2 linked regions of the Macaca mulatta genome follow. The main gene of each other region encodes a partner of the protein of the gene in region 2 in a complex. Links are inferred from orthologs where the notes say so. Each region holds a gene or a part of one and is shown on either strand. Other genes may lie near its edges.

Region 1 (11,571 bases), about 110 Mb from region 2:
GGCCTAAGTGCTTATCCACTGGATGGATAAAGGGTAGTAATTATGAGAAAGCAACTGGAATACCCAGGGAGGCTGGAGGAAGGTAAGAGCTATTTTTGTTTGTTTGTTTGTTTGAGGCAGAGTCTCACTCTGTCACCCAGCCTGGAGTGCAGTGGTGTGATCGTGGCTCACTGTAACCTCCACCTCCTGGGTTCAAGCAATTCTTCTGCCTCAGCCTCCCAAGTAGCTGGGACTACAGGTGCACACCACCACACCCAGCTGAATTTTTTTTTTTTTTTTTAAAGTAGATATGGGGTTTCATGTTGGCCAGGCTGGTCTGGAACTCCTAACCTCAGGTGATCTGCCTGCCTTGGCCTCCCAAAGTGCTGGGATTACAGGCGTAAGCCACTCTACCCGGTGATAAGAGCTATTTTAACAAAGCCTGTTTGTACACATTTCACTGCACTTCAGTCCCCATGCCTAGTCATGCTGTTTCTCCCCCTGGTAGAGGCAAGCACCTTTCCCATGGAGGGTTCATCACCTGCTTTCAGGAAGAGGGGCCAGAGGGCCCTTCTTACACCTACTGCTCTTCAAGTGCCTTCAGCTCAAAATAATTCTTATATCAAATCTGCATATTTTGGGGAGGTATATTCTGCTATCTTGTTGGGAGCCGAAAATCTGAGGGTCGTGACCAACTCAGCACTCCACTAGAAGCTATATGATTAAACAGCAAACTGTTTATCATGAATGCAGGATGTGGGCAAACTCGCATCTGTGTCTGCTGCCAGAAGGTACACTGAGGGCCTCATTCCCTGGCTCTGTGCCCCTTGAGGTTATCTTCTGGGACATCTGGAGCCTACTGTTCAAAGAATGTAGTCATGCAGGCCTGCACTAAGTCAAGCAGCTGACCACAACCACCCCCTTCTCCCTATCTCCTTTACTCAATAAATATGAAGGGCTCTAGCAGCTCAGGACCCTTGTTCACTAGAAGCAAGGAGCCCCCTGACCCCTTTATCCAAATATACTCTTTTGTCTTTGTCTTTATTCCCACATTTGTCCTCCTTTGTTCAGTCCACCAAGGTCTGCGGCACTATCTCTTAATGCCTAACTCTCCTTTCTGTTGTTTATTTCTGGAATTTTAACCTTTGGATATTTAGAACCACTCATTCCACTTTTATAGACTGCATGCTCAGGCTGTCTCCATAGTGTATATGCTCTTGAAGAGTTGAGTACATGGTGAACAGATACCACATTTCAGTTACTATCCCACATCATTAGGACTCGCAGGATACAGAAGCAAAGGTGTTGATTGTAATTGTAAGGGTCTGGCTTTGTTGCCCAGAATGGAGTGCAGTGGTGTGATCACTGCTTACTGCTCACTGTAACTTGGAACTCTTGGGCTCAAGCGATCCTCCCACCTCAGCCTTCTAAGTAGTTAGGACCACAGGCACATGCCATCATGCCCAGCTAATTTTTATATTTTTTATAGAGACAGAGTCTTGCCATGTTGTCCAGGCTGGTCTTGAACTCCTTGGCCTCAAGAAATCCTCCCATCTCAGCCTCCCAAAAAGCTGGAATTACATGCATGAACCACCATGCCTGGCTGGAAAGGCTTCCTCAAATACCCGCTTACACAACCCAGAAAGACTTCGGTTACTTTCTTCCTGTGTCTAAACTTCTTTCCTTAGCTCCTCACCTTAGGTCCTCAGCAGTCAGTTCTGATGTACAAATTGCCCTGTGTTGCCTTGTTATATCTTTATAGGGCATCAATTCGTGCACTATCCACTCCATTAAACAGTGAAAACAAGGAACATATAAGACCAAGCTCTTGTTTTTTGTTGTTGTTTTTTTGTTTTGTTCTTTGTTTTGTTTTGTTGTTGTTGTTTTTGACAGGGTCTGTTGCCCAGATTGGCCTCAAAAACTCCTGGGCTCAAGTTATCCTCTTGCCTCCCCAGTAGCTAGGATTACAGGCATGTGCCACACTGCCAAACTTAGGCTCTGTTCTCATACAAAGACCAGAATGACAGGGGGCTGCTCAAGTGGCTTGGTGTCCTACAGAAGGCAAAGCTTGATCATGATCCTGTCAAGAATGCATTATCTGCATCCAGTTACGTAAATGTAGCTAGCTGCCCAAATTACTGCTCCTTCCAGGCTGCCCAGCAAGATCATCAGCAAGGTTACATAGGTTTAGCTTTCCACCACTGGGCAAGACTTTATCAGGACAAGGGCTTTGTAAAGTATAGAAGACTTGAACTTTATCTGCTTGGGAGGCTAAGGCAGGAAGATGGCTTGAGCCCAGGAGTTCGAGGCTGGCCACTATGCTCATGTCTGTGAATAGCCACTGCACTTCAACCTGGGCAGCATGGCAAGACCCTGTCTCTGAAAAAACAAAACAAAAAGGGGCCAGGCGCGGTGGCTCAAGCCTGTAATCCCAGCACTTTGGGAGGCCGAGACGGGCGGATCACGAGGTCAGGAGATCGAGACCATCCTGGCTAACACGGTGAAACCCCGTCTCTACTAAAAAATACAAAAAACTAGCCGGGCGAGGTGGCGGGCGCCTGTAGTCCCAGCTACTCGGGAGGCTGAGGCAGGAGAATGGCGTAAACCCGGGAGGCGGAGCTTGCAGTGAGCTGAGATCCGGCCACTGTACTCCAGCCTGGGCGACAGAGCAAGACTCCGTCTCAAAACAAACAAACAAACAAACAAACAAAAAAAAACAAAAAGGGAAAACTTAAATTTATCCCAAAAGAGTCTAGTATTGAAAGTCAGAACTGACTTTCAAAACCAGAACACAGCTCTCCCTGAATATTCTAGGCTTTCTGGATAGCTCTCCAAGGATTTGGCACTCATAAGTTTAAATATATCCTGAGATTTAAAAGGTATGATGTTCAGTTGTGTGTGTACTAATAAATTGATGAAGCTTTTGAATTTTGAGTCTACAGGCTATAAATTGGATTCAAAGAGACTTATAAAATCCACTGTTGCCTATTGATAGCGTTTTGCGCACACCCCTTGCTATGTTTAAGAGCATCTTTTACTATCATTGCTTCTACACACAATACAGGCCCCCTTCACTCAAGCATAAGCACCTTGAAAGCAGAGTGGGCAGCAGCCCATTCTGGGATTGGATTTTATTCCCACAGGAAATGGATTTTATTCCCTCCATGATCCCAGCATGGGGTAGTGCTTGGCTTCATTCAGTTTAATAAAGCCTTTAACAAATAAATGATTCCAACCTGTACCAGAGGGAGACAATCCCTACATCCTTATCCTCACAGCCATCCTCAGGTTTTCCCGACATAAGTCTACTATTGGATCTGTGGCCTGCTGCCCTAGCTGTAGGATTTCTCAGCAAGTTGGTCTCTGTGTCTCTCATCCCCAGAGCACTGCCAGACTACTTTGTGGCACTGGGAAGCCTGTTTCAAAGTGCCGGGCACATGGGCCACCCCTGTCTGCGACTGCTCAGTAAGCTGACTTCCAGGGCAGAGTGCCCTCTTTGAACTTTAGGCTGGGGTTTCCCAGTATTGATTTCACTTAGGCTGAATTAACAATGCACATGCCTGGCTGCGCTTCTCACACGCAACTAGCTAGTCATCTACCCTAACAGAAGATAGGGTGAATTAACAACATACATGACTAGCCAGCCTTTTAACTGAATGGGAGATTGGGTATGTTAACACATACAATGACGTGGACTTCTAACTGGAGATGGGCCAACATCACAGCTACATATGTGTGTGCACATGGGCACACGTGCACGTGCGCACATACACACACACACACCCCTAGCCAGCCTTCTAACCTAATGGGAGATAGCCCAAGTTAACAAGATATACAACTAGCCAGCTTTCTAAATTAACAGGAGGTAGGCTGAGTTAACACACACAAGTAGCTGGACTTTGTTTTTTTTTTTTTTTTTTTTTTTGGTTTTGAGACTGAGTCTCGCTCTGTTGCCCATGCTGGAGTGCAGTGGCATGATCTTGGCTCACTGCAACATCTGTCTCCTGGGTTCAAGCAGTTCTCCTGCCTCAGCCTCCCAAGTAGCTGGGATTACGGGCATGTGCCACCACACCTGGCTAATTTTTGTCTTTTTAGTAGAGATGGGGTTTCACCATGTTGGCCAGGCAGGTCTGGAACTCCTGACCTCAGGTGATCCACCCGCCTTGGCCTCCCAAAGTGCTGGGATTACAGACCTGAGCTGCCACGCTGGTGAAGTAGCTGGACTTCTAACTGAAAATAGGCCAAGATAACACATACTACTTGCTGGCCTTAACAGGCTGTCTAGGTAGGAGACTAGCTGGACTGGTAACCTCACTGGAAAGAAGCTGTGTGTACACACACACACACACACGCAGGACTTGTAACAGTTTGAAAGAGGCTGAGCTGAGAACACACAAGACCAGCCAGCCTTCCAACCTAACTGTAGATAGGCTGAGTTGACACAACTAGCTGGGGTTGCTTACCTAACTGCAGATAGGCCAGTTACGCTACCCTCAACACCCCGTCCCCAAACAGACCAACCATGATTCTTATCTAAAGGGATAGACCAAGTTAGCACCACACACGACTAGCTGGACTTGTAACTGGAGACAGGCTGGGAGGTAACGCGCATGAGTAGCTGGCCTCCTAACTGGACAGGGTGAACACAGGATTCGCCAGCCTCCCACCCTAATCAGAATTAGGTAAGCCAGCACCGGCCAGCGGAAGGAACCCCCAAAACCCAAGAGCCTGGCTTGCTACAGCAACTCTTCCGACCAGGTGGGTGGCTCTTAAAAGAGCCTTTGGGGTGAACGTTGCGCAACCTCTCAGGTGGCGAGATGGCCCTCCTAGGCCCGCTCCCCACGGATACGGCGTGCCAGCTGGATGTCCTTGGGCATGATGGTGACCCGTTTGGCGTGGATGGCACACAGGTTGGTGTCCTCGAACAGCCCAACCAGGTAAGACTCGCACGCCTCCTGCAGCGCCATCACGGCCGAGCTCTGGAAGCGCAGGTCGGTCTTAAAGTCCTGAGCGATCTCGCGCACCAGCCGCTGGAAGGGCAGCTTGCGGATTAGCAGCTCAGTGGACTTCTGGTAGCGGCGGATCTCGCGAAGCGCCACTGTGCCAGGTCGGTAGCGGTGCGGCTTCTTCACGCCGCCAGTGGCGGGTGCGCTCTTGCGAGCCACCTTAGTGGCCAGCTGCTTGCGTGGCGCCTTGCCACCCGTCGACTTGCGCGCAGTCTGCTTGGTTCGGGCCATGAATTTGAAACTGTTGTCTCTGCTGTGTCCTCTGACCAGACCTAAGCTGATTGCCCGCTTTTATAGAGCTTGCCGCGTTTTCATTGGCTGGCCTCAGGTGGCGTGATGGCCCCCTACTCTCTGATTGGTCCACAGGGCACGCCACTCGGCCGCCTCTCCCTTATATTAGTGCTTGTTGGTCGTGGCCACCAGAGCTAGCACCAGCATTGTGAAGGGTTGATGCGGGTAGGCCACGGCGGTGGAGATCATCTCTCTCCAGCACAAGCTTCCTCGTGTCTCCTCAGCAATCCTCTTCTCCCTTCCTCATGACTTGGGTGGGAAGAGCCTTCCGAAAGCCAGCATGCGGCATTCCACTTTTTTTAAAAATTAATTTTAAAAAAATTTTTTGAGATGGAGTTTAACTCTTGTTGCCCAGGCTGGAGTGCAATGGCGCGATCTCTGCTCACTGCAACCTCTACCTCCCAGGTTCAAGCGATTCTTCTGCCTCAGCCTACCAAGTAACTGGGATTACAGGGATTACAGGTATCCACCACAAAGAGATGGGTTTTCACCATATTGGCCAGGCTGGTCTCAAACTCCTGACCTCAGGTGATCCACCTGCCTCGGCCTCCCAAAGTGCTGGGATTACAGGCATGAGCCACCAGGCCCAGCTGGCATTCCACTTTTTTTTTTTTTTTTTGAGACGGAGTCTCGCTCTGTTACCCAGGCTGGAGTGCAGTGGCGCAATCCCGGCTCACTGCAAGCTCCGCCTCCAGGGTTCAGGCAATTCTCCTGCCTCAGCCTCCCAAATAGCTGGGACTACAGGCGCCCACCACCACACCCGGCTAATTTTGTTTTGTATTTTTAGTAGAGACAGGGTTTCACCATGTTAGCCAGGATGATCTCGATCTCCTGACCTCGTGATCCACCTGCCTCAGCCTCCCAAAATGCTGGGATTACAGGCGTGAGCCACCGCGCCCAGCCGGCATTCCACTTTTACACAGTGATACAGCTCTGGGATCCAACCAGAGTTAAAGGAGTCTTCCACTTTTTATGACCTGCAAAGAACTCCCTTTGCTGTATGGCTCAGATGAGCCTTAGGATGCTGAAGAAGGTAAAGATATGCCTTTCTGGCATATTAACTCTTTTGAGATAAAGGCACTTAAAAAAAAAAAAAAAAAAAAAAAGAGGCAGGTGTAGGAAGATCATTCTGAATTTCTTGTTGTTTCTTAAAGGCAAGAAATAGAATTCCCCTATGAAAGATGTTCTCCTTATAGTAAAAGGAAGGGAACGTTCTTATCATCAAGGACCAGAAGGTGGAAGCTTCCAAATCTCCTCCAACTCTGAAGCTGAAATTTGATCCCTAAAGTTGGAGCCGGGGCTCAGTGGGAGGTGTGTGGGTCCTGGAGGTGTCACCCTCTGAATAGAGTCCTGCCCTCCTTTAGGGTGAGTTCTCACTCTGTTGGTTCCCTGAAGAGCTGGTTGTTGAAAAGAGCCTGGCACTCCCCTCCCCTCTCTTTCTGGCTTCCTCTCTTGTGCAGTCCTGTGACCTCTGCACACACATGGGTTCCCCTTCACCTTCCACCATGAGCAGAAGCAGCCAGAGGCCCTCACCAGAAGCAGAGGTGGGCCCTATACTTGCTTCCTTCCATTCTCCCTCCCTCCCTTCCTTTCTCTCTCCCTCCCTCCCTTCTTCGCTCCCTTTCTTCCTTCCTTCCTTTCCTTTCTTTTTATCTTCTTCCCTCCCCTCCCCTCCTCTCTTTCTTTTTTCAGTCTTGCTCTGTTGCCCAGGCCCCTCCTACCTCAGCCTCCCAAGTAGCTGGGACCACATCCAGCTAATTTTTAAATTTTTTGGAGAGATGGGCTGTCATTATGTTGACCAAGCTGGTCTTGAATTCCTGAGTTCAACTGATCCCCCGACCTTGGCCTCCCAAAGTGCTAGGATTACAGGCTTGAGCCACCATGCTGGGCCACCGTGCTTTTTTTGTTTTTTTGACCTGAGTCTCACCCTGTTGCCCAGGCTGGAGTGCAGTGGTGTGATCTCAGCCCACTACAACGTCCGCCTCCCGGGAAGTTCAAGCAACTCTCCTGCCTCAGCCTCCCGAGTAGCTGGGATTACAGGCGTGAGCCACTGCACCCAGCCACCGTGCTTCTTGTACAGCCTGGGAAACCATAAGCCAATACCTTTTTTTTTTTTTTCCAATAAATCATCCAGTCTCAGGTATTCCTTTAACAACACGAAACAGACTAAGACAGAAGCCAAGAGAAATCTATACAAACAAACTTTATTAAACTAACCCTTATCTTCCTAGTTGTTGCCACAGTTACTACTCTTTGTTCAACCTAGTGTGTAAGCATTTTGACCTAGTCATTTCTTCACCCCATTGACTATCCTCACCCAAGCCCCGTGGCCTTATCAAATCTCACAACTTACTAGTGTTTGTCCACCTCTGTATATAAGTGATCCTAACTGCATCTTTGCATCTTCATTTCCTTATGAGGGCTCCTGTGTCACATTAAATTTGTATTAAATAACTGTATGTTTTTCTCCTGCTCATCTCTCTAATGTCAGTCTAATTCTTGGGCCCAGCCTGGACCCTAAGATAAGGGAGGTAGAATTCTGCCTCCCCTACAGCGCCCCTTGTTGATGCATGACAGGCCCACTGTCTTGGTCTGTTTTGCATTGCTGTAAAGGAATACCAGAGGCTGGGTTATTTATCAAAACATTTTTTAGCTTATGGTTCTGCAGGCTCTATAAGAAGCAAGGCTCCAGCATCTGCTTCTGATGCGGCCCTCAGGAATCCTCCACTCATGATGGAAGATGAAGGGGAGCCCCTGTGTGCAGAGGTCACAGGGAAAGAGAGAGGAGGAGGTACTGGGCTCTTTTTAACAACCAGCTTTGGCAGGAACTAATAGAGCAAGAACTCCACTCCCCACGAGGGAGGGCAGGAGTCTATTCATGAAGGATCTGCCCCCAGGACCTAAGCACCTCCCACCAGGTTGCACCTCTAACACTGGAGATTAAATTTCAACATGAGAATTAATGAGACAAATACCTTATTCAAACTATAGCACCCACTACATTGCCATCTTTGTCTTATCAATTACTACCTGAACCCCTTGTCCCCATGGGTCAATCCACACAAGGTGCTTGTTTGCCCAGCCTTGGTTCAGCTTCTCCCCTCCCCCAGGGCCCTGATGTTTGGCCCCTCCTGGAGCAGGCCAGGCTCAGGGTAAAGTATCCTCAATCTCTTGTCCCCTCAGCCACCCTTCACCCCACTTCCCCAGACCTGGTTCTTTCCAGCCGCATTCATTCCTCCCTATATGAGAAAACTCCTCTGCGTCACCTTTGAGAGCTTGCAGACCTTAAGGTCAATGCTTTCTCCCTATTGCAGTATTCTGGTGTCTCCTGTTGCGATATCCTTTTGCATAAAGATCTCTGCTTACTAAGTCTGGATTGGTTTTTTTATTGGACAGTGGTTTTTACACAGAAGGCCTGCTGCTCTCTGCTCATCGGGTCTGGTTGGCTGGTCAGACATGTGGAAGGACCCTAGGACCATCCACCTGTGAAGTCCACCCAGGCTCACCCCTGGTGTAAACGATGTGGGGTCTGACCTGGCCAGACCAGATGCTGCTCAACCGTTTAACTGCCTGTGAGGATTTGGACATGTTCGATCTTCCTGGAGCTGTCTCTCACTCGAGAGGGGCAGCCTTGGGACTCTCCAGGTGTCCTTAGGGCTAATGGGGCTGATGATGGGCGGATGATGGATTACCAGCAGCTGCTGCGACCTCCCCAGGAGCACCTGCAGCGACCTCCCCAGGAGCACCTGCAAAGCAGCCCTTTCTGCCTCATGACTCTGCCCAGGCCTCTCTGCGGAGCATGGCACAGGCTTGGCCAGTTCTCTGAGTGCATCCAAGAGGCTCATAGGTTTTGGGCATATGTCTGCGACCTCACTTTTCCAGTCATAAGGGCTTTTGCCTTTAGATTCTCAGGGGCTTTGAGCCCCCAAACCACCCAGACATAGCACAGGATGCCACCTGGTTCTATGTGTCTGAGCAAACAAATGCACACTCACACGAAGCACAGAATGCAGGGCTGCCTAAATGCGGACCCACCCACCCCTGGCAAGGCTTGAGAACAGCCTCTATATTACATGTAAAAGCTCTTTTTAGATGATCAGCCGAACAGTTCATTTTCTCGATCTCCAATCATTGTGTTCTATGTTGTTAAAACCCCCAGAAGGACCAAGACCCATAGAAAAATGTCCCCTGAAAACTTCCCAAGAGGAGAGATTTCCTCTGCAAACTGAAGAAAGTGTGAGATATAAACATTCCTCCCAAGGAACTGGTCTGTCAAGGCCTCACGCATTCGGTAAATCAGTGTGTGTTCTCTGTCTCCTCATTCTCTCTGCCCATGGTTTTGTATGTACAGCTGGGGCAATAATGGGCCTTGTGTCCTCTTGTTAAAGTTCTTTGAGATTTGGGGGTCCTACATGGTTGGTCATGTTGCATCATCTCTAGGAGCACTCCTATCAGCCAACAACATGCTATCGCTTGTCCAATTTATCAATTGGCATTTCTCCTTAGTCTGGGCAGCAGCAAGGCTGAAACCATCTGAACTTTCACAAACTCACTGTAAGCGCAGAGAGGGGGTCTTACAGGAACAGGCACTCCTTCTAGGTCGGGGGTAAAAAGTGCACAAAGCAATGGTGAGCTCTGTCCTCCAAAGACTCTTGCAAAGCCAGTGTGCACTAGGGTTTCCCACTGTTAGAAAGAATGCCTTCTCTCTCCATCCAATATGCCCTTCCATCTGGCACCCCACTTCTCCGGCCCACTCTGCAGGAAACTCCATCAGTAGGAAGCATTTTCTTGAGTTCTGTACTTCAAATATGCTATGGAAGCAGCCACATTCCTTGTTGATGATAGTCAGGGTTAGTTTCAAAGGGTTCTAGTTGGCGCAGGGATTTCTGAATCTACAAGACAAAAATGTGGAGAGAAAATAAGTTAGTATGAAAAAACAAGGGGAATAGCTGACAATACCAGCTCCTAGTGTGACTGTTGATTTTGTGCACTCGGGCCGACCCCCTCCTCCTCCTTAATGGTATAATAAACATGGTAACTACGATGGGATTCTTGATAGAAAGGAGGAAATGCAGATGAGGAATTTCATTCTTTCTGAAAGTCTGAACTATTGACACACAGTATGCAATCTTATGTTCTCTCTTGAGTCTTAGAAATCCCAGAAAGGCTATTTGATAGAAATCAGCATCCTCACCTGGAACTGGACTAAATGGATACAGCCTGGATGAGTACAGCAAGGTAAAAGGGATGAAGTGCTCATCTCTTTTTCATGTCAGGGGAGTGCTGAAGCTCTCATATAGTAACTTTCTCCTTCTTTACACAGATTATGTGTATTTAGTAGTAACTGTGCACCATCAATTCATAATACCAACAAAAACATTGTCTAGACAGGGCTTCAGATATGCCCTGTCTATTCTTACGAATTCCAGAAGCCAACTGGGCGCGGTGGCTCACACCTGTAATTCCAGCACTTTGGGAGGCCGAGGAGGGTGGATCACGAGGTCAGGAGTTCAAGACCAGCCTGGCCAACATAGTGAAACCCAGTCTCTAGTAAAAATACCAAACTTAGCTGGGCATGGTGGCATGTACCTGTAATCCCAACTACTCAGGAAGCTGAGGCAGGAGAATTGCTTGAACCCAGGAGGCGGAGGTCACAGTGAGCAGAGATAATGCCACTGCACTCCAGCCTGGGCGACAGAGCAAGACTCCGTGTCAAAAAAAAAAAAAAAAAAAGAATTCCAGAAGCATCTATTAACCCAAACTATTCTGGCTACCTCTAAAACAGACTTTGCGTTCATTTTCTATTGTTGCCATAACATGTTACCACAAATATAGTGGGTTAAACCAAAGCCCATTTATTGTCATACAGCCCTGGAGGTGGAAAGTCCAGATCACCCTGTGGGCAGTACTGATACCCTCTGAGGCCTCTCTCCTTAGCTTGCAGGTGGCCATCTTCTCTCTGTGGCTCCTCACATTGTCTTCCTTCTGAGCGTGTCTCTGTGTCCAAATTTCCCTTTTATCAGGACACCAGTCCCACTGAATTAGGACCTACCCTAATGACCTCCTTTCAGCTACCTCTGTGAACACCCTATCTCTAAATAAGGTCACATTCTGAGGTGCTGGGGGCCAGGACATATTTATTTCCAATATTCATGTAAATTTTGTGGTGTGACATAATTTAGCCTATAGCACACAGTCACTATAGATGTGAGATCTCATAGAATCACCACAAACAAAAAAAATTGACCCCTGATCACAGTTGTCAAACAAACCTAGCCATGGGCCTTTGAGGGAA
Region 2 (11,475 bases):
TTGTAGTGGGAGGATTTGTTGTTACTGTGGAATAATCTTCAGAAGAGATTAAAAAGATTAAAATAGAGTTACTGTGAGTTTCAGAATATAAAGTTTAACAATTTTGCAAAAGTTTTAAATAGTCCTAGGTGTCCTTTTTTTCTTTTCATTTTTTTAGGAAGAACAGTTTCGATGGTGTTTAGACACCCTACTGGGTAGAGAGGTAATTGATTGTTGGGTAATCAGTGTATGTAGCTGTTGGGGAGATAAAGGGAAAATGGGTTCGTCAGCAGATACAGGGCTAGGTCTCTTAAGTGTCGGATCCATCTTGCACTTTGTTTTCCATTCTTCCTCTCTAGCCCTCCCCCAGTTAGGCCTTTCAAGCATTTAAAAATACTGAGCATTTTTAAATACTGAGGTTATGTAATGACATCCTTTTTTAAAAAAAAATGTTATATGAACAACATTATAAACGAGAGTAATATTGTGTACCATAAATCCTGGCTCATGGTGAACACTTAATAAACATCTTATTAAGTGAATGAATATAGAAGAAATAAATTCACTCACCTTTTTTATGGACTCTTTACTCCTGTGCCGAAACAGTCTAATATTTCATTTTTTCAGATTCCTTTCTAGTGCTTGGGAAGTTAAAAAAAATCTGCTATTTCAAGGTGTTTTGAGAGTGGGAATAAGCCCCTTAGCTTCTGTACCTGTCTCCGCCCAGCCTCTGATGCTCTCATGTGATTGCAGGTACTCTGTTCCACCTGAGCATGGAAAGCGGTTGGAACGCCTCGCCAAAGGTACTGTGTCTCGTCTGTTTGCTGGGTTGGACCCTCCTATGAGCTGTGCTCCTTGCTCTGCACTAAAATGTGCATTCCCCATGGTCAGATTCTTGCAGGTCCTGTTGCAGGCCTGCAGATGTGGGTGAGCCACATTGGTTACCTTAAGAGGGCAGTGACAGAGCCTTTTCTTCCTTTGTCCTGAGCAAGGACTTGGTCATTTCTTCTTTGATTGTCTGTGCCTCAGTTTTAATGAGCAGTGGTGTTTCTTTGACCAGCGATAATGAACCAGACCAGTATGACCGGTGTTTCCAGTAAAGACCCAAATGTTAAAGAAAAAATTGCATTTTATGCTTTGTTTCTTTTATGTGGACTTACATAGATTTGTATGTCTAGAGAACATACTTCAGGAAAGCCTGGGTAGATCATACTCTAGCTGCATTACTGAAGAAAGATCAGGGATACAAGTGACTGGAGAAAAGGTCCTAAATAGTTTCAAAGCTCTGTAAGAACAGAGTCAGCTTGGGTGACCTTGGTTTCCCAAACAGGATTTCATTACCCATGTAATGCCCTACATGGGAGTGAGCCCAGAGGCTCACTGTAGAATCTTAGAATTGGTGCGGAGCTATAGGGATCCTTGGAGGTCACATCGGTGATTCTTCCTGTTTATCATTCCGATGAGAAGCACAGGTGTGAAGTGACTCCGGATTGCAGAGCTAGTGTGGAGCACTGTGTTAACCCATACCCTTTCAATTAAATAGGCTTTTTCCCAGGAAGTGCTCAAAGCTGTGAGGCATTTCTCCGCCACAAGATGACCCTGATTTCCCCGTTAATGCTGAAGAAATATGGAATTCCCTTTGATAAGGTGAGCTGATGTTACATGCCAGAGTTCTCAGGCACCACCCTTTCTGGCCTTTTACAGAGTTTTATTCTAGTTCATCACTATAACAAGAGGGGGGCCAAAGCTTAAACTATGTAACAACCCTTTGATCTAAGAGCATTAAAGGTGGGGCCACTTTAGCTTCCAGGTGCCAGAGGAGAGTCAGATCCCCTTGAACAGTGTTCATTTGGAGGCATGGTTAATTATAGTCATGTCATCTGATATGTCTGGGCTTTGCATAATTTTATAGAAGACAGCAAGACCCCAGGGGTTTTATGACTTACCCTTTGTTGCTCAGCTAAGTTGTGGTGGAGCTCAGAATTCCAGTTCTGTGGACCTCTGCCATTTGAAGCAGCTGTTTCAAGTCTGCTCTTGTTCAGGTGACTCAAGAGGCCGGAGAGTTTATGATCACTTTCCCTTATGGTTACCATGCCGGCTTTAACCATGGCTTTAACTGTGCGGAGTCTACCAATTTTGCTACCCGTCGGTGGATTGAGTATGGCAAGCAAGCTGTGCTGGTAAGTCTGCTTGATTTCTTTCTATAACACCATGACAAAAATGAGCAAATTCTGGTTAGATACGTTGGCTGGTGATTAGAATATTTCTTTGAGTTGCTGGAATTCAGAAACGAGCAGCTAGCAGTGTGTCAGAGTACTAACATTTTGTGTTCATAAGGAATTTTAAAAAATGTGTTCAGATTTGGGAAGTATAAAATGAGGTTCGTAAGTCCATTAGGCATTAAAACCACATCCACACACGTTAATATTCTTGCCTTAGCCACTCTGAGACTTCTCTGTTGAAGTTCCTAGGGGTTTTCTTTACTCTAGGGAAGCGGCAGGGCTAGGCCTTTGACTCGTAGTAGTAGACTTGCTTGTGTGTTCCTGGCTTGGACAGGGAGCCAAGGGCAGGTGGCTCACCATCCTGGGGGCCTAAGTGCTGAGCCTAACCACCGTCTGTGGCCCCGAGTTAGTGCCCAGGTAGATTTGCCCCAGTAGTATGTATTCTCTGCCCTTTTTTCCCTGCTTCCCTTCATATTTGAAGGTCCTGCAAGGATAATATGCCCTCAGCCTGTGAACCAAAACAATCTGGTTATAAACCATCTTGCACTTGTTTCCATGTGGAGGGAGGAGCTAGGACTTGGGGGTGAGGTGGAAGCAGCAAGGTATGCTCACCTGGTGCTCTTCCGGTTCCTGCTGACAGTGCTCCTGTAGAAAGGACATGGTGAAGATCTCCATGGATGTGTTTGTGAGGAAGTTCCAGCCAGAAAGGTACAAACTTTGGAAAGCTGGAAAAGACAACACAGTTATTGACCATACTCTGCCCACGCCAGAAGCAGCTGAGTTTCTTATGGAGAGTGAACTGCCTCCAAGAGCTGGCAACGAGGAAGAGTGCCCAGAGGAGGACATGGAAGGGGTGGAGGATGGAGAGGAAGGAGACTTGAAGACAAGGTAACCCAGCAGCCCTTTGTCGTGGCTGTGTGAGGGAGAGGTGTCTGGGTAGGTCCTGTGACCTGTGGAGAGGCTGTTTCTAAGATGCTGTTTGTGCCTCGGCTGAGGGATTGTTCTTGGTAAAGGCTCCAGAAGCCGGAGAGCCAGAGCATTCAGGCACTTTCTGAATGAGAGAACTGCAGTGGGCGTGTAGTCTGCTGGAGCAAGGGGTTATTTATATGAGGGTCAAGGCATTTATGTGCGAAGGTTGGGCTCCCCCTGAGCCGGAAAAGTCATGTTTTCTCATCAGAGAGTCTTTTAAAAAGAAGTGTAGTGAGGATGAGACTCAAGGGCATTGGTAATGTTGTGATTTAAGTCTGCAGTGCCATTAGAGCAGACTTAAGAAGAGTCACCTTTTTAAGTCTGCACCAATGGGAAGCTGAGCCAGGGGATCTGTGCTCTGAGAATTTATCCTGGGCCATATGGGAAAGAAAGGAGGAACCGTTCCTTGGTACCTACTATATGCCAGGCACTTTGCCAGCTACTCTGCATACCTTTTCTTAGTCCTCACAACAAATCTGTTAGGTGGGTGGTAATACCTGTATCTTTTAGATGATGGAACAAGCTCAGAGAGGTGAAGTCCCTTGTCTCAAGTCACAAATAAGAGGTGTCCCTGAGTTTTGAGCCAGGCCTGACAGGCTCTGGCCATTCGCTTTGGGTTGTGTGTGGATGTGTAGGAATGTCTTTGAGTAAGTGGATGTATTTGTGGGCTCTTAAAAGATTTGCCCTCTCCCTTGCAGCCTGGCCAAGCACCGAATAGGGACAAAGAGGCACCGAGTTTGTCTTGAAATACCACAGGAGGTGAGTCAGAGTGAGCTCTTCCCCAAGGAGGAGCTGAGTTCTGAGCAGTATGAGATGACGGAGTGCCCGGCAGCCCTCGCCCCCGTGAGGCCCACCCATAGCTCTGTGCGGCAAGTTGAGGATGGTCTTACCTTCCCAGGTTAGTTGACTATGGTGTATTTTCCACAACCTTAACTCATACATGTGTCCCGTGTCAGATGCCATATTGAGTGCTGGGTGAGAAAGAAAGCAGAGTGACAGGTCTGTGAGCAGATAGTGTACTTGGAGTGTGGGAAGTGCTTTGGGTAGGGATGTACAGGGTGGACTGGACACGTAGGGAAAAGCTCCTCCCTCTGTCTGGTCAGGGGTCAGGGAAACACTGGAGGTTTTGGTGAAGGTGACTCTTACAAGGTAAGTAGGACCTTCCCAGGCGGACAGAGAGAGAGCAGGGATGTAGAAAGGGTGTTCCAGAGGGGAGGAGCAGGGCACAGGCGTGGAGATGGGAGAATTTTTTTTTTTTTTTTTTTTTGAGATGGAGTCTTGCTCTGTCATGCGGGCTGAAGTGCAGTGGCGCAATCTCGGCTCACTGCAACTTCTGCCTCCTGTGTTCAAGCGATTCTCCTGCCTCAGCCTCCCAACTAGCTAGGACTACAGGTGCCCGCCACCACGCCTGGCTAATTTTTTTTTGTATTTTTAGTAGAGATGGAGTTTCACCATGTTGGCCAGGCTGATCTTGAACTCCTGACTTCAGGTGATCCGCCTGCCTCGGCCTCCCAAAGTGCCGAGTGGGATTACAGGCTTGAGCCACCGTTCCCAGCAGAGATGGGAAATATTAATAGCATGGTCCACTTGGGGGAACTGGTGGGGAGTTTCCCTCAATTGAATATTAGGGTAGAAGGCAGCTGTGTGACCAGAAGGTGACGCTGGAGAAATAGGAGAGGATGTAGGGCTGTCTGCCATTTTCATTTGCTCACTTGGAAGCTTATATTTTAAGAGTGGGAGTGGTGTGATCAGTGTTGTTTAGCAGTCACTTGGAAGGTCATTGAGGCTAGATTTGTTGGAGAAAGGCTTGTATCTGTCTTGGGTCAGGTATGACGCTAAGATGTGGTCTGCTGACAGCCAGGTAGCACTGTGGACTGACGTTCTGGGCTGGGCTGGCTTCTAATTCAGCAGATTTTCTTTCCCTTTTTTCCCTTCAAATTTATTTATATTGACAGATAAAATGGTGCATATTTGTCATGTACAACATAATTTTTTTTTTTTTTTTTTTTTTTTTTTGAGACTGAGTCTGGCTCTGTCGCCCAGGCTGGAGTGCAGTGGCCGGATCTCAGCTCACTGCAAGCTCCGCCTCCCGGGTTTACGCCATTCTCCTGCCTCAGCCTCCAGAGTAGCTGGGACCACAGGCACTCGCCACTTCGCCCGGCTAGTTTTTTGTATTTTTTTAGTAGAGATGGGGTTTCACCGTGTTAGCCAGGATGGTCTCGATCTCCTGACCTCGTGATCCGCCCATCTCGGCCTCCCAAAGTGCTGGGATTACAGGCTTGAGCCACCGCGCCCGGCCACAACATAATTTTTTTGTTTTAGAAATAGGGTCTTGCTCTGTTGCACAAGCCTGTGCGAACACAGCTCACTGCAGCCTCAACTTTCCGGGCTCAAGCAATCCTCTTGCCTCAACCTCTCAAGTAGCCTGGACTACAGGCGTACGCCACCATGCCTGGCTACTTTTTTGTTTTTTGAGACGTAGTCACTCTGTCACCCAGGCTGGAATGCAGTGGCGATCTCGGCTCACTGCAATCTTTGCCTCCCGGGTTCAAGTGATTCTCCTGCCTCAGCCTCCTGAGTAGCTGGGACTACAGATGTGGGCCATCACGCCTGGCTGATTTTTTATATTTTTAGTAGAGATGGGGTTTCACCCTGTTAGCCAGGATGGTGTCGATCTCCTGACATCGTGATCTGCCTACCTCGGTCTCCCAAAGTGCTAGGATTACAGCCGTGAGCCACCGCGCCTGGCCCATGCCTGGCTAATTTTTAAATTTTGTAGAGATAGGGTCTCACTTTGTTGCCCAGGCTGGTCTTGAACTCCTGGGCTCTAGCAATCCTCCCATCTTGGCCTCCCAAAGTCCTGGGATTACAGTTGTGAACCACTTCTCCTGGTCCAACATGATTTGTGAAGTAGATATATGTTGTGGAATGGTTAAATCTAGCTGATTAAAATACATATTACTTCACATAGTTACCATTGTTGCAGTGAGAACATTTAACATACACCCTCTTAATATTTTTCAAGATCTTTAGATTTTCTAGCATGGGCTAGGTAGCCAGGTCTCTGCTGAGCTCAGACTTGTATTTCCTGCAGGAGACTTCGGAGGAAATGGCAGCTGCCCCTTACTGAGTGTCTGCTGAGTGCCAGGTGGTGCTCAGGAGTCTTATTTATGAGCCCTGCAGATATGTAGTAGCATCTTCTCACTACAGAGGAAGAAGCTGGAGGCCAGGAGGCTGAGCAGATAGCCCTGGCTCACAGTGTCCCTCAGTGACAGAGCCAGGATGGGAAGCCAGGTCCCATTCCTAGCCCATGTTCCTTGTGCTTTGCCACTCTGGCTTTCATCAGATTCACGTGTGCAGGTGGAACTTGGCTCTGTCTAACGTGTATGTGTGTTTCAGATTATTCTGACTCCACTGAAGTCAAATTTGAAGAGCTCAAAAATGTCAAACTAGAAGAGGAGGATGAGGAGGAAGAACAAGAAGCAGCAGCCTTGGATCTTTCTGTGAATCCTGCGTCTGTAGGGGGACGCCTTGTCTTCTCAGGCTCCCAAAAGAAGTCATCTAGCCTGGGCTCTGGCTCTTCACGGGATTCTGTCTCTTCTGATTCAGAAACTAGTGAGCCTCTCTCCTGCCGAGCCCAAGGGCAAACGGGAGTTCTCACTGTGCACAGTTATGCCAAAGGGGATGGCAGGGTCACTGTGGGAGAGCCATGCATGAGGAAGAAAGGGAGCGCCGCCAGAAGTATCAGTGAGCGGGAGCTGGCAGAGGTATGGGCTCCAGGCAGTGGTGTGGGCTGGGGAGCTGCCCTGAAGGACACCCTGTCGGGGAGGGGATCTGTGTTGGGGAGGTGGGTCTGTGTGGTGGAGGTGCTGCAGGAGGGCAGGAGAAACCCTCAGTCAGTGCCTCCAGCCTGCAGTGGTTGTGTCCAACAAAAGCCTGGGTGGCATTCACTCTCCCAGCTTGTTCTTTGCTGGGAGTTGCTTTTCTCTTATCCCTGTGGCTTCTGATTCCAAGAATTGCATCAATGCAGCCTCAGTCACAGCAGCAGATCCTCCTCAGCCCACTTGGATCACAATGCCTTTTTTTTTTTTTCTTGAGATAGAGTCTTGCTCTGTTGCGTAGGCTGGAGTGCAGTGGCGTGATGTTGGCTCACTGCAACCTCTGCCTTCCAGGTTCAAGCAGTTCTCCTGCCTCAGCCTCCCGAGTAGCTGGTATTACAGGCGTGTGCCACCACGCCCAGCTAGTTTTTGTATTTTTAGTAGAGACAGGGTTTCACCATGTTGGCCAGGCAGGTCTCAAACTCCTGACCTCAAGTGATCCGCCCACCTCAGTCTCCCAAAGTGCTGGAATTACAGGCATGAGCCACCGTGGCTGGCCTTTTCAGTTGGGGTGGGTGGGAACTCTTCCTCTGACCCTCATTGCCTTAGCGGCACAGGGGTTAGAATAGCTGCCATTGGAGCCCACATGTTTGGGGGTTTGGGATGAGATGAGATGAGATGGCCTTTCTTACCTTGAAATTCAAGGGTTTTTTTCTTACAAGTCTTGACTGCTCTGTAGACTCCCAGTATGACACTGATAGAACATCCTTTTGGAGACCAAGATGCATTCCCAAAGCTATAAATATGAACGTGTGTGTTCAGGCTTCCTCCATAAATATGTGTTGTCACCAAAAGCTGATTCCTGCTTTTGTGTAAAATGGCTCTTCGTGGGTCTGCCACTATGGGTGATCAGAGTCATGTCAGATGCAGCTGGACCCACACTACCCAAGGGACCTTCCCTGACTCCCCAGACTTACAGCTTATGTGGGTCAAGCTTGCAGCTTTTGATGAGGGGTGGCAGATATAAGAAGCCAGTGCAGAAGGTCCTCTTTATTCCCTATCCCCTTACCTTTAGTTTTTAAAAATTTAGCTCTTAAAAATCTTCACTATGGAAAATTTCTGAAGTATGTACAGAATACCATCACGAGCCCCCGCGTGTACTCATCATATATATGATTAGCATTTGGCACATTTGCTTTCTGTTTTCTTTGGCTGCAGTACTTGACACTCAGTCATATTCACATTTCCCTAGTGTTGCCAATAGTCCCTTTTTATGGTATGTTTATCTCCTTGTTGTTAATACTCGTAACTTTTCTCGGTGCCTTCTCTGAATCTCAGGGTACGGTTTTTGTAGACTTCCTTTTTACCTTGTGAATGTTCCTCTTTCCATCCCACTGTGGTTGCAGGCTAATGAGCTAATAACTACTGTGTTTCCTTCTCATTGCCTCTGATTGCAGTTCTCTATGCCTTCTTATGGCAGCTTCCATAAATGAGGGCTTTTTCAGCCTGGAAACCAGAGTCTCTTAAACTTCCAGTTGCCACCTAGCAATTCTTCCTTCACAGAGGCGCCGAGCCATTTCGTCCATCCTACTGTTCACTACAGTTCATGCTGTCCTCTTGCTGAGTCTTCCTGACATTCTTGTTTCTAGTTGCAATCACAATCACAAAAAGCAGCTAAGAAGTAGCAAGAGCTCACTGTATATTAAATACTTTGTTTTTCTTTTTTGAGACAGGGTCTTGCTCTGTTGCCCAGGGTAGAGTGCAGTGGCACAGTCTTGGCTCACTGCAACCTCTGTCCCCTGGGTTCAACCCATCCTTCCCACCTCAGCCTCCCAAATAGCTGGGACTACAGGTGCACCACCACTCTCAGCTAATCTTTGTATTTTCTCGGCTTATCTTTGTATTTTTGTATTTTTTGTAGAGATGGGGTTTCACTGTGTTGCCCAGACTGGTCTCGAACTCCTGGGCTCAAGTGATCCTCCTCCCTTGATCTCCCAAAGTGCCATGATTTCAAGTGTGAGCCACTGTGTGCCCCACCGCCCCCAGCTATTAAATACTTTATATGCATTGTTTAGTCTTTGTATTACTGGTTAATTAATCTTATTACAGAGTCAAGTTTTTGTGGGATTTTTTTGGGGTGGAGGTGCAGGAAGCCAATAAATAACACTTGTCCTTTTTCCTCTCAAATTTGGAACTATTTAATTGATGATACAAGAGTCAGGCATATGGAGCTCAGAATGTTGCTTTACTTACAAGTTAAAATGATTGAAGAAAGTGACTTTTAACCTGTGGCCAAATGGCCCTGCTACCCATTTACTCTTTTTTTTTTTTTTTTGAGACTGAGTCTCGCTCTGTTGCCCAGGCTGGAGTGCAGTGGTGCAATCTTGGCTCACTGCAAGCTCCGCCTCCCGGGTTCAGGTGATTCTCCTGCCCCAGCCTCCCCAGTAGCTGGGATTACGGGCATGCATCACCACTCCTGGTTAATTTTTGTATTTTTTTAGTAGAGATTTCACCATGTTGGCCAGGCTGGTCTGTAACTCCTGAGTGCCCGCCTCAGCCTCCCAAAGTGCTGAGATTACAGGTGTGAGCCATCGCGCCTGGACTACTCATTTACTCTTGATGTCTCCAGGCCCCTCTAGAGGCAAAGCATTTCCATGGAAGCACTCAGCTTCCATGTGGTGTGGACATAGGCCAGAATGCACTCCCTCTCCAAAAGACAGATCCTATTGAAGTGAATCACAGCTTTTAAGGGGGTGGGGAGAAGAAAAGCCAGGACTCTTTCCATGTGGAAGTATGCTGGGGGAAGGGGTCTTCTCTCTGACATGTCTCTCTTTTTCAGTCCTCTGCTCAAAAACCCTTGAGTGTCTTCTTGGTTCCTTTTTATTTCTGTATATACTTCTCAGGTCTAGCCTGATGATAATACCCTAATACCCTCTCTGCTGCATTGCCATCCATCCCTCCACCTCCAACATGTGCTAGCTTGTTTGTCTGAACTACTTAAAAGTCTCTAAAACTGTTTTGGCTGCCCTGCCTCTTCACTACTTTGTAATCATTTACAGCATGCCTGCTCTAGGCCAGGACTGTGCCTTCAAGGAACTCATAGTCTAGGAGAGATAGATAAGAGCAAATCATTCCAGTACTAATGATACGTGTTGTGGTACAAGTGGGAGAGTTAGCAGTTCAGCTTGGGGTTGCAGTGTGGATTTCAGGACTGCCCGAGAGAAGGAAACAGTTTAGGCCTGAGGTTAGAAGAATGCCAGGTGGATAGAAGGAAATCGAAGAGAGAATCTGGGAGAGTAGGATGTTCTAAATGCTCATGATAGCTCATGCCAGCATCAAAGCACTTGGGGATCTGCAGTGGTTTAGTTTGTCTCAGGTGTATAGGGCTAGAGAGGGCCTCAGGTGGTGCTTTTGGAGGATATCAAGAGCCAGAACCTGGAGGGTCTGCCTTGTTGCTCTGTGAAGCAGTTTGACCTCCTAGTTACAGTGTAGGGAGCAGCAGAAGGGTCCCCACCATATGCACCGTATGGGTTTGGAAATTGAAAGCTTTCATAATTCATTCTTTTAAATGCACACACAAAGGGCCGGGTGTGGTGGTGCATGCCTGTAATCCTAGCACTTTGGGAGGCCGACATGGGTGGATCACATGAGGTCAGGAGTTCAAGATCAGCTTGTCCAAAATAGAAAAATTAGCTGGGTGTGGTGGCGGGTGCCTATAATCCCAGCTGCTTGGGAGGCTGAGGCAGAAGTGCTTGAACCCCGGGGCGGAGGTTGCAGTGAGGTGAGATCACACCACTGCTCTCTAGTCTGGGTGAAAGAGTGAAACTTTGTCTCAAAAAAATAAATAATAAATGCACACACAAAGATTCAGAGGGAGGCCACGCAGGGTGCCGTGCACCTGTGGTCCCAGCACTTTGGGAGGCTGAGGTGCAAGAATCGCTTGAGCCCGAGAGGTTGAGGCTGCAATGAGCCATGACTGTACCATTGCACTACAGCCTGGGTGGCAGAATGACACAATATCTTAAAAAAGAAAGATGCAGAGCAAATAATACAGTGAACCCACAAATAAATTTTTTTTTTTGAGATGGAGTTTTGCTCTGTCGCCCAGGCTCGAGTGCAGTGGCATGATCTGGGCTCACTGCAGCCTTCACCTCCCGGCTTCAAGCAATTCTTTGCCTCAGCCTCCTAAGTAGCTGGGATTACAGGCGCCTGCCACCACGCCCGGCTAATTTTTGTATTTTTAGTAGAGACGGGGTTTCACTATCTTGGCCAGGCTGGTCTTGAACTCCTGACCTCATGATCTACCCACCTCAGCTTCCCAAAGTGCTGGAATTACAGGTGTGAGCCACTGCGCCCGGCCGAACCCATAAGTATTCTAACAGGTGTCAGGATCTTTCCATATTTGCTTTGTTTGTCCTATTTTCAATTTGCCGAAGTATTTATATTAAAATTATATTATCTTTATTAGTTTATAATGTACATATTTT

The links.
Region 1: the proteins of KDM4A (region 2) and H3-4 are in contact, whole or in part, in a crystal structure (PDB 2YBP), measured with the Homo sapiens proteins. The link is inferred for Macaca mulatta from reciprocal best matches to the Homo sapiens genes KDM4A and H3-4. Residues at the interface, in NP_055478.2 of Homo sapiens: Ile71, Tyr85, Asn86, Ile87, Gln88, Ala134, Asp135, Val160, Ile166, Thr167, Ile168, Glu169, Gly170, Val171, Tyr175, Tyr177, Glu190, Asp191, His240, Lys241, Met242, Ser288, Thr289, Asn290, Arg309, Asp311, Met312, Val313, Lys314, Ile315; in NP_003484.1 of Homo sapiens: Ala32, Thr33, Gly34, Gly35, Val36, Lys37, Lys38, Pro39, His40, Arg41, Tyr42.

What each region holds. Positions count from the first base shown.
Region 1 is NC_133406.1:86,174,342-86,185,912, forward strand, and holds H3-4 (histone H3.1), read right to left. Parts: upstream 5,931-11,571; 5' UTR 5,217-5,930; coding exon 4,806-5,216; 3' UTR 4,262-4,805; downstream 1-4,261. UniProt on the Homo sapiens protein: Core component of nucleosome. Nucleosomes wrap and compact DNA into chromatin, limiting DNA accessibility to the cellular machineries which require DNA as a template.
Region 2 is NC_133406.1:196,989,632-197,001,106, reverse strand, and holds part of KDM4A (lysine-specific demethylase 4A), read left to right. Parts: intron 1-732; coding exon 733-782; intron 783-1,522; coding exon 1,523-1,626; intron 1,627-2,021; coding exon 2,022-2,159; intron 2,160-2,841; coding exon 2,842-3,089; intron 3,090-3,868; coding exon 3,869-4,068; intron 4,069-6,569; coding exon 6,570-6,937; exon of another isoform or gene 6,938-7,303; intron 7,304-9,362; exon of another isoform or gene 9,363-10,004; intron 10,005-11,475. UniProt on the Homo sapiens protein: Histone demethylase that specifically demethylates 'Lys-9' and 'Lys-36' residues of histone H3, thereby playing a central role in histone code. Does not demethylate histone H3 'Lys-4', H3 'Lys-27' nor H4 'Lys-20'.